3 linked regions of the Coturnix japonica genome follow. The protein of the gene in region 3 interacts with the protein of the main gene of each other region in a biochemical or structural test. Links are inferred from orthologs where the notes say so. Each region holds a gene or a part of one and is shown on either strand. Other genes may lie near its edges. The genes, in order: FLT3, ERBB4 and SYK.

What was found.
Region 1: of the proteins of SYK (region 3) and FLT3, one has a biochemical effect on the other in vitro, tested with the Homo sapiens proteins (2 studies listed by IntAct, with this or other methods). The link is inferred for Coturnix japonica from reciprocal best matches to the Homo sapiens genes SYK and FLT3.
Region 2: the proteins of SYK (region 3) and ERBB4 form a complex in vitro, tested with the Homo sapiens proteins (2 studies listed by BioGRID and IntAct, with this or other methods). The link is inferred for Coturnix japonica from reciprocal best matches to the Homo sapiens genes SYK and ERBB4.

The regions. Positions count from the first base shown.
Region 1 is NC_029516.1:157,441,231-157,444,879, reverse strand, and holds part of FLT3 (receptor-type tyrosine-protein kinase FLT3), read right to left. Parts: intron 3,438-3,649; coding exon 3,320-3,437; intron 2,424-3,319; coding exon 2,272-2,423; intron 1,688-2,271; coding exon 1,548-1,687; intron 1,469-1,547; coding exon 1,315-1,468; intron 1-1,314. UniProt on the Homo sapiens protein: Tyrosine-protein kinase that acts as a cell-surface receptor for the cytokine FLT3LG and regulates differentiation, proliferation and survival of hematopoietic progenitor cells and of dendritic cells.
Region 2 is NC_029522.1:7,035,416-7,039,064, forward strand, and holds part of ERBB4 (receptor tyrosine-protein kinase erbB-4), read right to left. Parts: intron 2,276-3,649; coding exon 2,228-2,275; intron 1,959-2,227; coding exon 1,911-1,958; intron 1,357-1,910; coding exon 1,059-1,356; intron 1-1,058. UniProt on the Homo sapiens protein: Tyrosine-protein kinase that plays an essential role as cell surface receptor for neuregulins and EGF family members and regulates development of the heart, the central nervous system and the mammary gland, gene transcription, cell proliferation, differentiation, migration and apoptosis.
Region 3 is NC_029547.1:39,246,756-39,251,083, reverse strand, and holds the start of SYK (tyrosine-protein kinase SYK), read right to left. Parts: upstream 2,899-4,328; 5' UTR 2,605-2,898; intron 2,562-2,604; exon of another isoform or gene 1,518-2,561; intron 1-1,517. UniProt on the Homo sapiens protein: Non-receptor tyrosine kinase which mediates signal transduction downstream of a variety of transmembrane receptors including classical immunoreceptors like the B-cell receptor (BCR).

The sequences.
Region 1 (3,649 bases), on a different chromosome or scaffold from region 3:
AGGATGAATTTTCCTTTGGTATATTTGAGATTTTTTGAATGTTCAGGCCTTGGGTAGCTCGGTGTTAGGAGAATGGTTCACTTCAGTGCCTGAGAAGCAGAAGACAAACCAGCCAGTAACAAAGCAGCAGTTGTCTCTGGAGCTTCAGGTTTCCCTTCCTACCACCACAGCTGCAGCATGTCTCTTGTGAGGCATTTTGCCAGCTCTGTCATAATGGGTTGTTCATGATCTCTTTGCACACTGTTCACACTTCATGCAAAAGTTTTCATTCTGCTACTAGTTCCACAGGTAACTGAACTAGAATTCTTTTGCAAATTTTCTTTTCCCTAAATAGTTTAGCAAACTGAAATGGCCATTTGTCAGTCATTCCCTTGCCAGAAAATGAAATAGATTTTTCTCTTTTGTTCTGTGTCTTGGGTGAGAATGTCACCTCCAAGAGACTTGCAATTGTTTGGTTGCTTCCTATCAGACCCAGGTCAGACCTGATGCAAACTTTCTATTTGCTTTTTTTCTGTGTTGCAGCAATGAGCCCCTGAAGGGACTGTGCTTGCAGATGAAGTAAGAGACTCCATACCAGGCAGATGCAGATGGAGGATGTGGTGAGGAGACCGAGGTTATGGCTACAACTTTCCAAAACTCAGGATGGAGTCATAATAGAACAATTCTATATCACAGTAGTTAAGACCGTAGTAGTTGAGTAGTTGAGCTGGTGGTCTTCAGACTGTGGCCAAACTCATATACAGAGCACTAATACCTAAACACCGGGACAGGTCATGCTCGTAATACTCTTTGCCAGCTCCAGAAATGGTGTGTTCTGAAAGGCTTTTCTTCTAGTTGTATGCTCTGTATCTGCCTTACTCTGACTTGGTAGCATAAAAGTTCCTATGCCCAGAAGCCCCGGGGGCAAAGCTGCCAGTAGCTTAGTGTCCCCACAAAAAGCTGCCATGGCTTTCTGTCACACTGGTTTGGAGTCTCCTACAACATCATGAGTTGACCCTCAGCCTGTGCATAAAGAAATAACCACGAAACTTCCCAACAGTGCCTGTTCATTTCACCTCTAAAAGTGCTGTCTTTTAATGAGAGTTATTTGGAAAGCAATTTGGAAAGAAAAAAGTATGTTATCGTCAGGGTCCTGAATGACTCAGTTCAGATTAATCTCTTGGCTCTCCTAATCTGTTGCTAAGTGTAAACAGGATTTGTTCTTAGAAATCACCAGGAACATGTGTTACACACCTGCAAGCAAGGAACTACTATACTGAAAACAAAGCAAAACAGCCAGCCCAGGGACAAAATTAACACTGGGGTTAGCATTACCTAAAACAGTAACCAAAGCAGTTTGATTTGGATGAGCTGTAGAAGAGCAGGTATAACGTCCGCTGTCTCCTTTTCTCGCTGCTGAAGTAAACATGTACTGGATCCGAATGGCTGAGCGGTCTGTTTGGTACTCCAACCCCTCAAACCGGTGCTTCTGGATGTCAACAGAGATTTCCTTTTAATCAGTTGATGGTGCCTAGTATTGCTTGTTTTAAAACATACCGGTTTCTTACCTGCTGTGCTTCTTTGTTTTCAGAAGATAAATTGATTCTGAATTTGTAATTCTGATAAGCAGCTCTGCATCTGATCAGCAGTGGCTCCCCAATTTTGAGAAATAACTCAGCTGAAGGTGCTGCTGGTCTTTGACTTAAATCTACAAAACGAAGCATGGTCACAAAACAATGGCTATGATTCTGCCTAGAAAAACACTCATTTAAATCTATATTTGTTCTTCTAATGCTGCATAGACATCCATTATCATATTAGAATGATCATTAGAATTTGAGAAAATTACTCATTAACCATGAAATCAGGAAATCTGGTAGATTAGATATCTCAAACCAAATGCTTGTCATGATCTACAAGCTGTATATATATAGCATGGTTCAGCATGGCGTTTAGCACAAGTCAGGCTTATTAAAAAAAAAAACAAAAGACTAACAAACAAAAATTTTATGCTTTAAGGATATTTTGAAGCACATCCACAACAACAGAGCCTTAAAAGCATGCAGAAATGGATGATAGCTCTTTAGAAAAGGCAAGAGGCTGTTTACAGAGACCACAAAATAGCTGTAATGATTTAGGATTAAATACAAGACAGAGCAATTGCATTCACTGATAGATTTGTTCCAGTGGTTACAAACAACTTAGTCCAGAAAGTGAATTCAGGCAAGCTGTGCAACCAACTCCAGCAGCAGGATCCAGCTCACACATACAAAAACCCTCTGGGAAAGTTACCTATAGTGAAGAGACTGGAGCATTCTCTGCCCAGGTCATTAGCTGCACAGCACCATATGTAAGTTTCAAACAATTCACTCTGATATAATTCATATTGTACCTTCTGTATGCCATCTATTTCTCCATTTTCTTCATGCATTTTATTAAGGCAGCTGTAATTACAAGCACAATTATTCACTGACTTATTTGGTTAACCTCAAGCGAATAAATCTGATAAATCTCCAAGCCATGAGAATATGCAAACAATGGTGGGAAAATTTGATCTTACACAGCAAAATAAAAGGAACTAGGAAAGGCAAAGATAAGAAAATAAAAATGTCACAGCCTAGGCATAAGAATGATCTGAAATCCCCCAAATACTCTGAAAATGGTGCATGAATGGGTAATTCAATAGCTAAACAGAGAAATCATATAGGTTGGGCTTTCACATCACATCCCTGTATTCATGATGATGGAAACTGCTGTAAATCCAGCAGAAATGAAATCCCAGATCCCACATTGCCACACAGCAGAGAAAGGTATTCCCTATGGCCAGGGTACGAGACACACTGAGGTCTGTTTGCTTTGAGCTTATGTGCTGCTTACTTGAGCACATTCATACAGTTGAGGAATCAATCAAATATGTTAATAGAATGAGAAAAAATCATCTAGATAGGAAATGATACGATCCCTTATGACTTCTTCCCAGCTTTAATGCAAGCATATTTCTTTTTAAAGTGAAAAAAAACTAGAGGGAAAGGAGATACTTTAGATTTGTTCTGGTAACATTAAGATGCCAAAATCTGGAACAACATTTCCAAGCCAAGTGCTGGAGGTTTCCAAAAGAGTGCAACAGCCAACATTTCTACGAAATATGTGCTCCAAAGTTCCAACAGTGAGTCATGCAGACACATGGGTGTGCAGCTCTGCAAACATGAACCAAAGTTCTTCTTCATTCTACAGCCAACTCTCCAGGCAGACCCAGCAGAACAAAGCTTCTCCTTTCCTCATCAGAAATTGGTAAGCTCTCAGTCTAGAGGTTCATTATACATAAAAACCTGTGTCATACCTCTTTCCACGTGCTTTGCAAAATGTCCACTTCACAGAGGGCTGGGGGTAGCTCTCTGATACGCACTCTATTACACCCAGTTTTTCAGATATCCTGAAATAGGGTTTGCCCGGTTTACCTGTTAAAAATCATGCAACGGTTTAAAAATGCTGAAATAATTATTATCGAGCAGACATTGCCTTGCTTATCTCACAGTACATGAAGTCACAGAGATGAAACTTACTCCGTGAGGTTTCACTGCTGGGGGAGAATGAAATGATTCAACCCTGAGCATATGGAGGGTTGGTCTCAGGGGCTTTTCTGTCTTTATTTGCTAAATGAACAGATTAT
Region 2 (3,649 bases), on a different chromosome or scaffold from region 3:
GCCTGATTAAAAAGCTTCCATCCTTGAAGGGCAAAGGGCCTTGAAGCATTATGAAAAATAATTCAAGTGAGTCCTGGAAAGGGTACAGTAGAGTCTTAACATTAGCTCCAGAACAGTTGGCACAGGTTGTGGTGTCTTCAAAACATTTGCTGCGGGCTAACACCACAAAAAGATGTGGTTCAGTTGCAGAAAGGTTTGAAGGTACACAGGAAGTGAGATAGGAGGATGGGAAGGGAAGATAAGCAGGGACACTGTCTGCCTTAGCTTACAAGTGCACTTGTCCCACAACCCCCTCTGTTTCCACTACGTATTAACAGTCTTCCAAATCCTGTAGCAAACTCAGTAGTTATTTGGCATTTACATCTGATTTGATTAATTTCTTTAAAGCCAATGCAAATGTTTGAAAGCAAATGACTAATGACACATCCCCTCACAGCAAAACAGTGCTGCTGCTATTTAAAAAGAAAGGAGAGAACGAAGGCCAAGTGGGAAGCATGGCACTGAGCTGGCAGTAACACAGGCACACTCCACCTCACGGTGATGGTTCCTCCAAAGCACACGGCATTCTTTCCGTCCCAAACTTCTCTTGGGCGTAAAATGCCAACTATGTGCATCGGTTCTGTGGTATGTTCAACCTGACATTTTACCAACCACGATGCTGTGACGATAAAGCAGATCAATAAACAAAGCCAAGTGGAGACCATGGCTGGACAAAGAAAGATTACTGGAAAAAGTATAAATATTTGTTCTTGGATAATGAGGGGGGTTTGTTGGTTTCTTATTTTTGCTTTGTCTTTTTCATTCCTCTCTCTTTTCCCTTCCAGCATCAAAAAATGAAAGGGGAAATACCAAACCTGACATTATAGTACAGTCAGCTTTCTTAAGTAGAATGTTAAGCAAAGAAAAGAGAATCCCCCCCAGCAAAGAAATGTTAATCAAGTCAGAATATTTCAGTCCTGCTGGGTTAGCAGATAAAACCCTTTCAGGTGTAAAGCTGCCGATGTAGACAAATAGAGAAGGCAGTGACTGGGAACTTCCCTGGAAGGACCAACTGTTACCTGTTTTGGGTTTGTCTCGCATTGGCGTCATATAGCCATCCTCATCCAGCTCTCCCCGAATCACCCGCTCTGGTATGAAGACCGTGGGATCAGCGCTGTACCTCTGGGTGCTGCTGTCCTCCTTTGCCAGCGTGGCCACCTGCTTCCGCAGTGTGCCGTTGCAGCAGGTGTCTTCAAAGATCTCTGCCGTTGCCCCTTGAGCAACTGGGGCTTCTGGGATGATGCAGCCAGGAGCTCTGTATGGCATCGGCACTCCCTGCTCTGCAGCATAGCCGCCATCTCTGTACACAAACTGGTTCTGTTGAGAAAGAGAAGGCAGCTTAGAAAGAACGCTCTCTAAAGGGAAGCAACATTGTACTACAAGGCATGCCCTTGGCTCTCCCGCCACAGCTGCTGAATGATGCATTTCACAGGGCAGGAGAATCCTCATCCATCCTGCAGGCTGCCACATTTCCAGTGCTGAGGGTCTAGCAAAGCATCTGCCTGCCCGGTGCTGCTGAGCAGGTCCCTTCCCTGGGAGGAGCATCAGGGCAGGGAGGGCTGCAGGGAGACTGGATGGCAATGAGGCTAGAAATGGGGTACAGAACTTGTCTCCTACGCAGATGTGGAAGTTGGAGATTCACAGTGGCAAAAGGCAAGCAAACCCAGTTTCTCTTTTTCTTAATAGAAAACCTCCCGTGATTTCTGAACAAAACCCTTAAACCTTATGCTAGGTCAACTTGGTTTGCTCCCAGGGGGGCTGCTCACAGGGTGTCTGGTAGCACTGACCACAAAGCCACCCAGACACTGTGCAGCTCCACCAGGCTGTGAGCAAGGCTCTCGCCAACACCTCAACAGTTCAACTCAACCTACCATTCTGCTTCTCAGCAAGGGCGTGCAAGGAAATTTCGACATCGTGACCTATAAATGGGAAGGAAAAATGGACAGATTCATCCAAGCCTGTTTCCTAAATACTTTTCAAAGAAATATCGGCAGTGATTTTGCATGTGGATCCCTTGAGCTCAGAGATGAATCCAAGCTGAGCTTAGAGATCCCCGAGTTATACATACACAAACTGCATTCAGTGTTGGGTTTTGAGACATTATAGGAATAAGGGAGGGAAAACAGAAAACAAGCAGTGAAGGAAGGAGGAAAACCTAAAGAATGAAGGTTGAATGTGAAATACTTACTCCTGACATAGGGGTGTAGGCAGGAGGAGGGCTGTGTCCAATTTCACTCTAATGAGAAAGAAAAATGGAATGATGGATACGTACTTAGAGGTCACAGGGTGAAACAAGTTGCATGAGCTCTATGAACTGATGGGGAGAAACATGCTCATCAGATTTCCTCAGCGAATCCAAACTGCAAAGATGTGTTTCACTGATGTGAAAAAGCTGTGTGCCTGCTTGCCTGCCTGCCCTGGGGAAGGTGGCCAGGTTCCCTCGCTGGGTAGGGGCGAGTTGTGGAGGTTGTACAGCAATCCCTCCATAAAGACACATTCATTTATTCTGATACCATTGGCACACCAGTTGCTCTTGTATTACTCCGTGCTGCTCAAAACTGACCTATTTCTCAATGAGAAAATGCTGATCTTCTGGGAAGGAAAATAAAGCCGAGAAACACAATCACGTATTTTTCTACTGCTAAAACGGTACATTTCAGATTTCTAGATCTGTTCTTCATAACTACTGTGCTTCCCAATTTGTTTCACAAACCTCCCTCTGTTTCCCTTACCTCCCAGTTCAGGGAGAGAAAAAGTCAGGATATTAAAAAAAAAAAAAAAAAAAAGGCTGAACTTGAGACAAGTGAGGAAAAAATCCCACATCCTTGGGTAAGAAGCCTGACCACGGCGAGAATGCTTCTCTTTAAGAGATGCCTGCTTTATTACAATCTCTTGCAGAAACGTATCGGTACTAACAGCTACACTCTAAGTACAATCAGAAAAGATGCACGTTGTCACACCACAGGGATGGGACGCACCACAGTCAGTTTGTGCCTTTTGCCAATACGTCACTAAGACGAGCCTTTATAAAGAGAGGCTTTTGGTTGAAGTTCAGTATCTGCATCGGGGAAAACATTCACGATGAATGTGGAAAGCCCAGTTTGGTGTTCATGAATGGGCTCGATTTGTTGATATAAATATTCCCACGGCCATTTTGTAACTCAAATCTAACACCTTTTGTCTAAGGTGTAAACATGGTGGACAAGACAAGCCCTAGTTAAGAACAAGCTTTTCTGCACTGCCATTCAAATTCATCTGTATTTAGCCAAGCGATAACCTTCTAACAAAAGGCTCCAGGTTGCAAAATACAAAAGTGCAGAAAAAACTCTGTTAGCTGAATGTCCTTCTGGACCAGCTGTCTGCAAAGCCTCGACAGGAGTCCCTCCGTGCACATCTCTTCACCAGGGCAATGAGCAGCTGGAAGGCTCAAGAAATAGGTTACTTACATTCCTGTGGTGCCACAGAGTATTCAAGACAAATGTCCTCAGCCAGAACAACAGCCAAGGTTCACAAGCAGCAGGAACAGAAGAACAAGCATCAGAGAGTGGTTGCGTGGCTGGCACTACCACAGTTGAGATAACTGATGGCAAGAGGGAACAGAAAACACCTG
Region 3 (4,328 bases):
TGTTCCAGAGCAAACTGGGACAAAGCAAGAGGAAAGGCAGGGTAGTCCTCTCTGTTCAAATTAATACATACCACCATCAGCTAGTTACAAACCAAGTGATAGTGAAACCACACAAAATAATACTCTATTACATTTCTGCATTCTGGCTATTTAAGAATATTTCCTACATTTGAAGTTGTTCTGTTACCTGGTACAGAGAGGTGGCAGATACCTACGAGAACTTATAAGATGAAAACTGAAGCTCAATTGGTCTCAAAATATTTTTCCCTTTCTTTCCTTTCAACAAACTCATTTAAAGCAGTGGTCACTTAGTCATTGTGCACACAGAGACAGGAAATTCTGAACTAATTTTGGTTTTGGAATGTAAAGATAAAGCAACACAAAACTGTTTCCCTACAATAAAATGGTATTTTCTCCAAATTAGAAGTTAAGATGATCCTGCAAATGCTTGCAGTGTGATAAGTTTTCACTCTTATGACTGAACTACATTTCTCATGTTCACAAGATTATCTTGAGCTTTTAAAGAGAACACTGTGCTCAGACTGAAGTCGTGCACAGTCTTAGTGGCACAAGTATGTTCACCCCGATGCAGAAGATCACACAAGTACACCTCATCTTTAAATGCAAAATAAACAATTTTAAATAGCTGACTGGAATGATCTTTCTGTAATTGTTACTCACATGCAAAGATACACACTGAATTCCTTATAATTACAATACAAAATCATACATGTTCCCCTTTTCGGCCATTTTATCCTGGAGCTAAACATGTAACTGGTGTGCACAAAACAGGTATTGAACCACTGATCGAAGAGTCCATAAAGCTGAAAAATGGACATCACCATCTAGTACCTTTCTGCCATAAATACAGACACAAACACAATTGCTGACAGTCACAGTATTCTCACTAGGAATGTCAGCCAATTTACTGTGGGCTTTGTAGGGTTTTTTTGTTTGTTTGGTTGGTTTTTAGGGTTTTTTTTTTTTGTTTTTTTTTTTTTTGTTTTTTGTTTTTTGCTAAATATTGAGTAATGAAAAAGCATAAAGAAAGTAAAATGAATCAAAACTGATTATAAAAAAACAAACTTTGATTGCAATCCCATGAACTCTGAACACAACATATATTTCAGTAGTGACTTCTGCTCCTCATGTCTCTGTCATAACATACACACACACCCACACACAAAGATAAAAGTGTATGGTAACATGTCTATGTTATATTTTTTGTTATTAGGGTGCTTAAATCCAGCTTCTGGTTTTACCATCAGTGCTCTAAAATGCAGTTTAGTTTCCAGCGTAACCTGCTAGCTCCTACTAAAATTGAACTTCTGGTTTTGTCTTCCTGCAACTTCAGATCTAATTCTGCTCTTCTTTCAAAATGGACAAGTAGCACTGTTCACTGCTGATCTTATGGACTTAATACTTTCTAAAGGCAGAAAACCAAGAACACTTCAACAGTTTATCATGGGGTTTTGCAGTTATTTCATGTACATTTGAAATCTGAAGCAATTACTTACATTTTGGGGCACATTCGGTGATTCCAAACCTTTTAGTTCAAAGTCTTTGCCAAACTATAACATTTCTCCCCCACAGGAAAACTGTCAGAAATAAAGAGCATTCAAACTTCCTTATTTGTCTCTATCACTGAATGTTCAACAGAGGGATGAAAAAACAACACAGTTCCTCTAACTGGGCTGCCTCAACGTGTTCTGCTCTGCTTCAGCTCATGGCCTCTGAGCCTGTAGTAGCACCGAGCTTAAAAGACTGATAGTCACTTGAACCAGACAGCTGTGCCTGTGGATTAAGCTGCAGATTCAGCCCAAAGAATTGAGAATTCTAAATGTCTTTGGATAAAAAGAATATAAAAGAAGCCCAACTGAAAAGAACATCAAAAGAAGTTACAAGGAGTTCATTCCCTTAGATGGAATTGTTTTGTTTTGAAATGGAATTACTCTGTAATATTCCATGCATTCTGGCCAAATTGTGTCTCAATCACCTCTGGTGGGGTCGGCGTCACCCAACAAAAGCAGCATCCATCTCTTCCCAGGGTGGCATTACTACACCCACACCCAATGAACTCCAGCACAAACTGCACATAGTACAGAGCTACAGAAGAAAATACTGCCCAATACTGAAATGATCAGCAGCAAGTCAACCATTGCACCCTTAGTACCAACATTCAGCACTTCTAGCAATGCTCTGTGATTATTCTGACAGAAACAAAATCCAGATTTTTTATAAGAAAGAAGCTCTTTTTAAAGCCATTTTCCCAGGTGCCAAATCTTTTATATACTATGCACCATTCAGAAGCTGAACAGTTACTTTAGTGTAAATTTTACGCTGTTAAAAACTACTCCGCAACACATTCAAAACATGACTAAATCTATATATTTTCTGTATTTAAGTTCCATATTCTAGTTCCTCAAATGCCAGGCTACCGATGTTACTACAGAAGGACGGAACGTTCCAGCTTGCCTCAGCAGATTGGCACATTTACTCGCCGCTCTCCGGGTAAACCCCGGAGAAAAAAGGCGGCTGGCAGACCCCGGCCCACCCCGCTCGTTGTTGCCAGCATCCCCCCGGCCCGGCGTGGCCTCCACTCACCGCTACGGCGGCTCCTCCGCTCGCCGCCTACTGCCGCCCACCGGCTCCTCCTGGGAGCGAGCCGAGCGGCGCGGCTCAGCCGAGAGCTGTGCCCGAGTTATGCGTTGCGAGAGCCGCCGCTTCCTCGTTTTCTCTCTCAGCCGAGGCCACTTCCTCAACGAACTGTCGGCCCCCTGCTCCCTCCCTCGGGCGATTCCGGCCCCCGGCCTGTCAGAACGTTTGTCCATGAGGGTGTGCGGTGTGCGACCCGCGGCGCCCCGACGTGCGTGTTGTGGTGCCCGATGGTGTGAGGTGAACGTGGGAAAGCAGAGGGACGCAAGAGTGGTCGTCTCTTGGGAGAAAATGAATAGACCCGCTGATTGTCAGCATTGAAATGTAATGTATTTTGGTACTTTTGTGTTTTGGTGAGAAAATTGCTTCTGGAGGAGCAAAAACGGTTTGTATTTGAAACAACATAGGATCTTTGTGCTGCATATGGTATTTACTCATTTTGTAGCCGCTGCTAGTATGGAAGAGACAACACCTGGTGTGGAAGAGAGCTGAAGAGGACCCCGTCCCTAAGGCTCCATGTACGAGGGAGTCAATTCCACTACAGATGTCTGCACATGCAACAGACGGCAACAAGCTTCTCCAGGATGCGCTGCCACTGGCATTGAATGGCACCTCAGGTGCACCTGCAGCCATGCTTCTCCTTCAGGCATGGCCACTGCATGGTGGTGTTGTGTGCCATGATGAGCAGCACTAACGTGAGGCGAGGTCTGTTTCCTGCTCCCTTGTATTAAGTGATTGCTGCAGTGAGTGGGCCTGCTTATTGTATAAGAAAGAGGTGCTGCAAGGAAGCACTGGCTCTCCTTCCACATCCATTATACTAAACAGAGCTGCCAAAGGGCAAAAGCCTCATGTTTCATACCGGTTGAAAAGGGCCTTTCTTTTGGTCTGATTGCCAAAGTGCAGATACATTTCTGAATTGGCACTACCTGTGTGTTAAGAAAACTTGATTCTTGGAGGGCCTTTGATGGCATAAGTCTTTCCTAACACCATCCAAAGGCACAGTCTACAGGAAATGGCTTTTGGAAAGTCATTACTGTGCTATGAACAAGATTTTAAGCAGAAGTTTCTTCTTAAATTGGTGAAAAAAAAAAAAAATGTTTCATGACTTTTAATTATATGTGAGCAAGAGTACTTGACCTGGTAAGGGTAGAGTTAACTTTCCGCAGCAGCTGATATGGTGCCTATCTGGGATTTTGAGTAATAGCGTATGAGTAATGCATTTTCTTTGCTGCTGGGCACTGCTGCTCAGTGGTGAGGTTTCCTGTGTTTTGCACTCTGCCCCAGTCCTCGCCAAGTAAGCAAGTAATGGACAAGATGGAAGGGGACACTGATGGAACCAGCTCTGTACCACAGCAAGAATCAGCGTGGGGATAGATGGAAAAGGGCAGGGGCTAGTGCTGTTTTCCTGCTCACAGACCAGCTGAGTATCACTCATCTTATGGAGGTGAGCAGATGGTTGAGAGAACTGGAAGGTGCAAAGCAAGAAAACGTGCATTGAGATAGGAACAAGTGAGGGAAGGGGGAAGATCGTATCAATGTAGCCACTCACCTCATGGAGGAGATGATAGGATCTTCCCCCTTCTCATGTTCCTATCTTAATGCATATTTTCTTGCTTTGCCCCTTCCAGCTCCCTCCACCATCTCCTGTGCAGGGGAAAATTATCAAGTGGCTG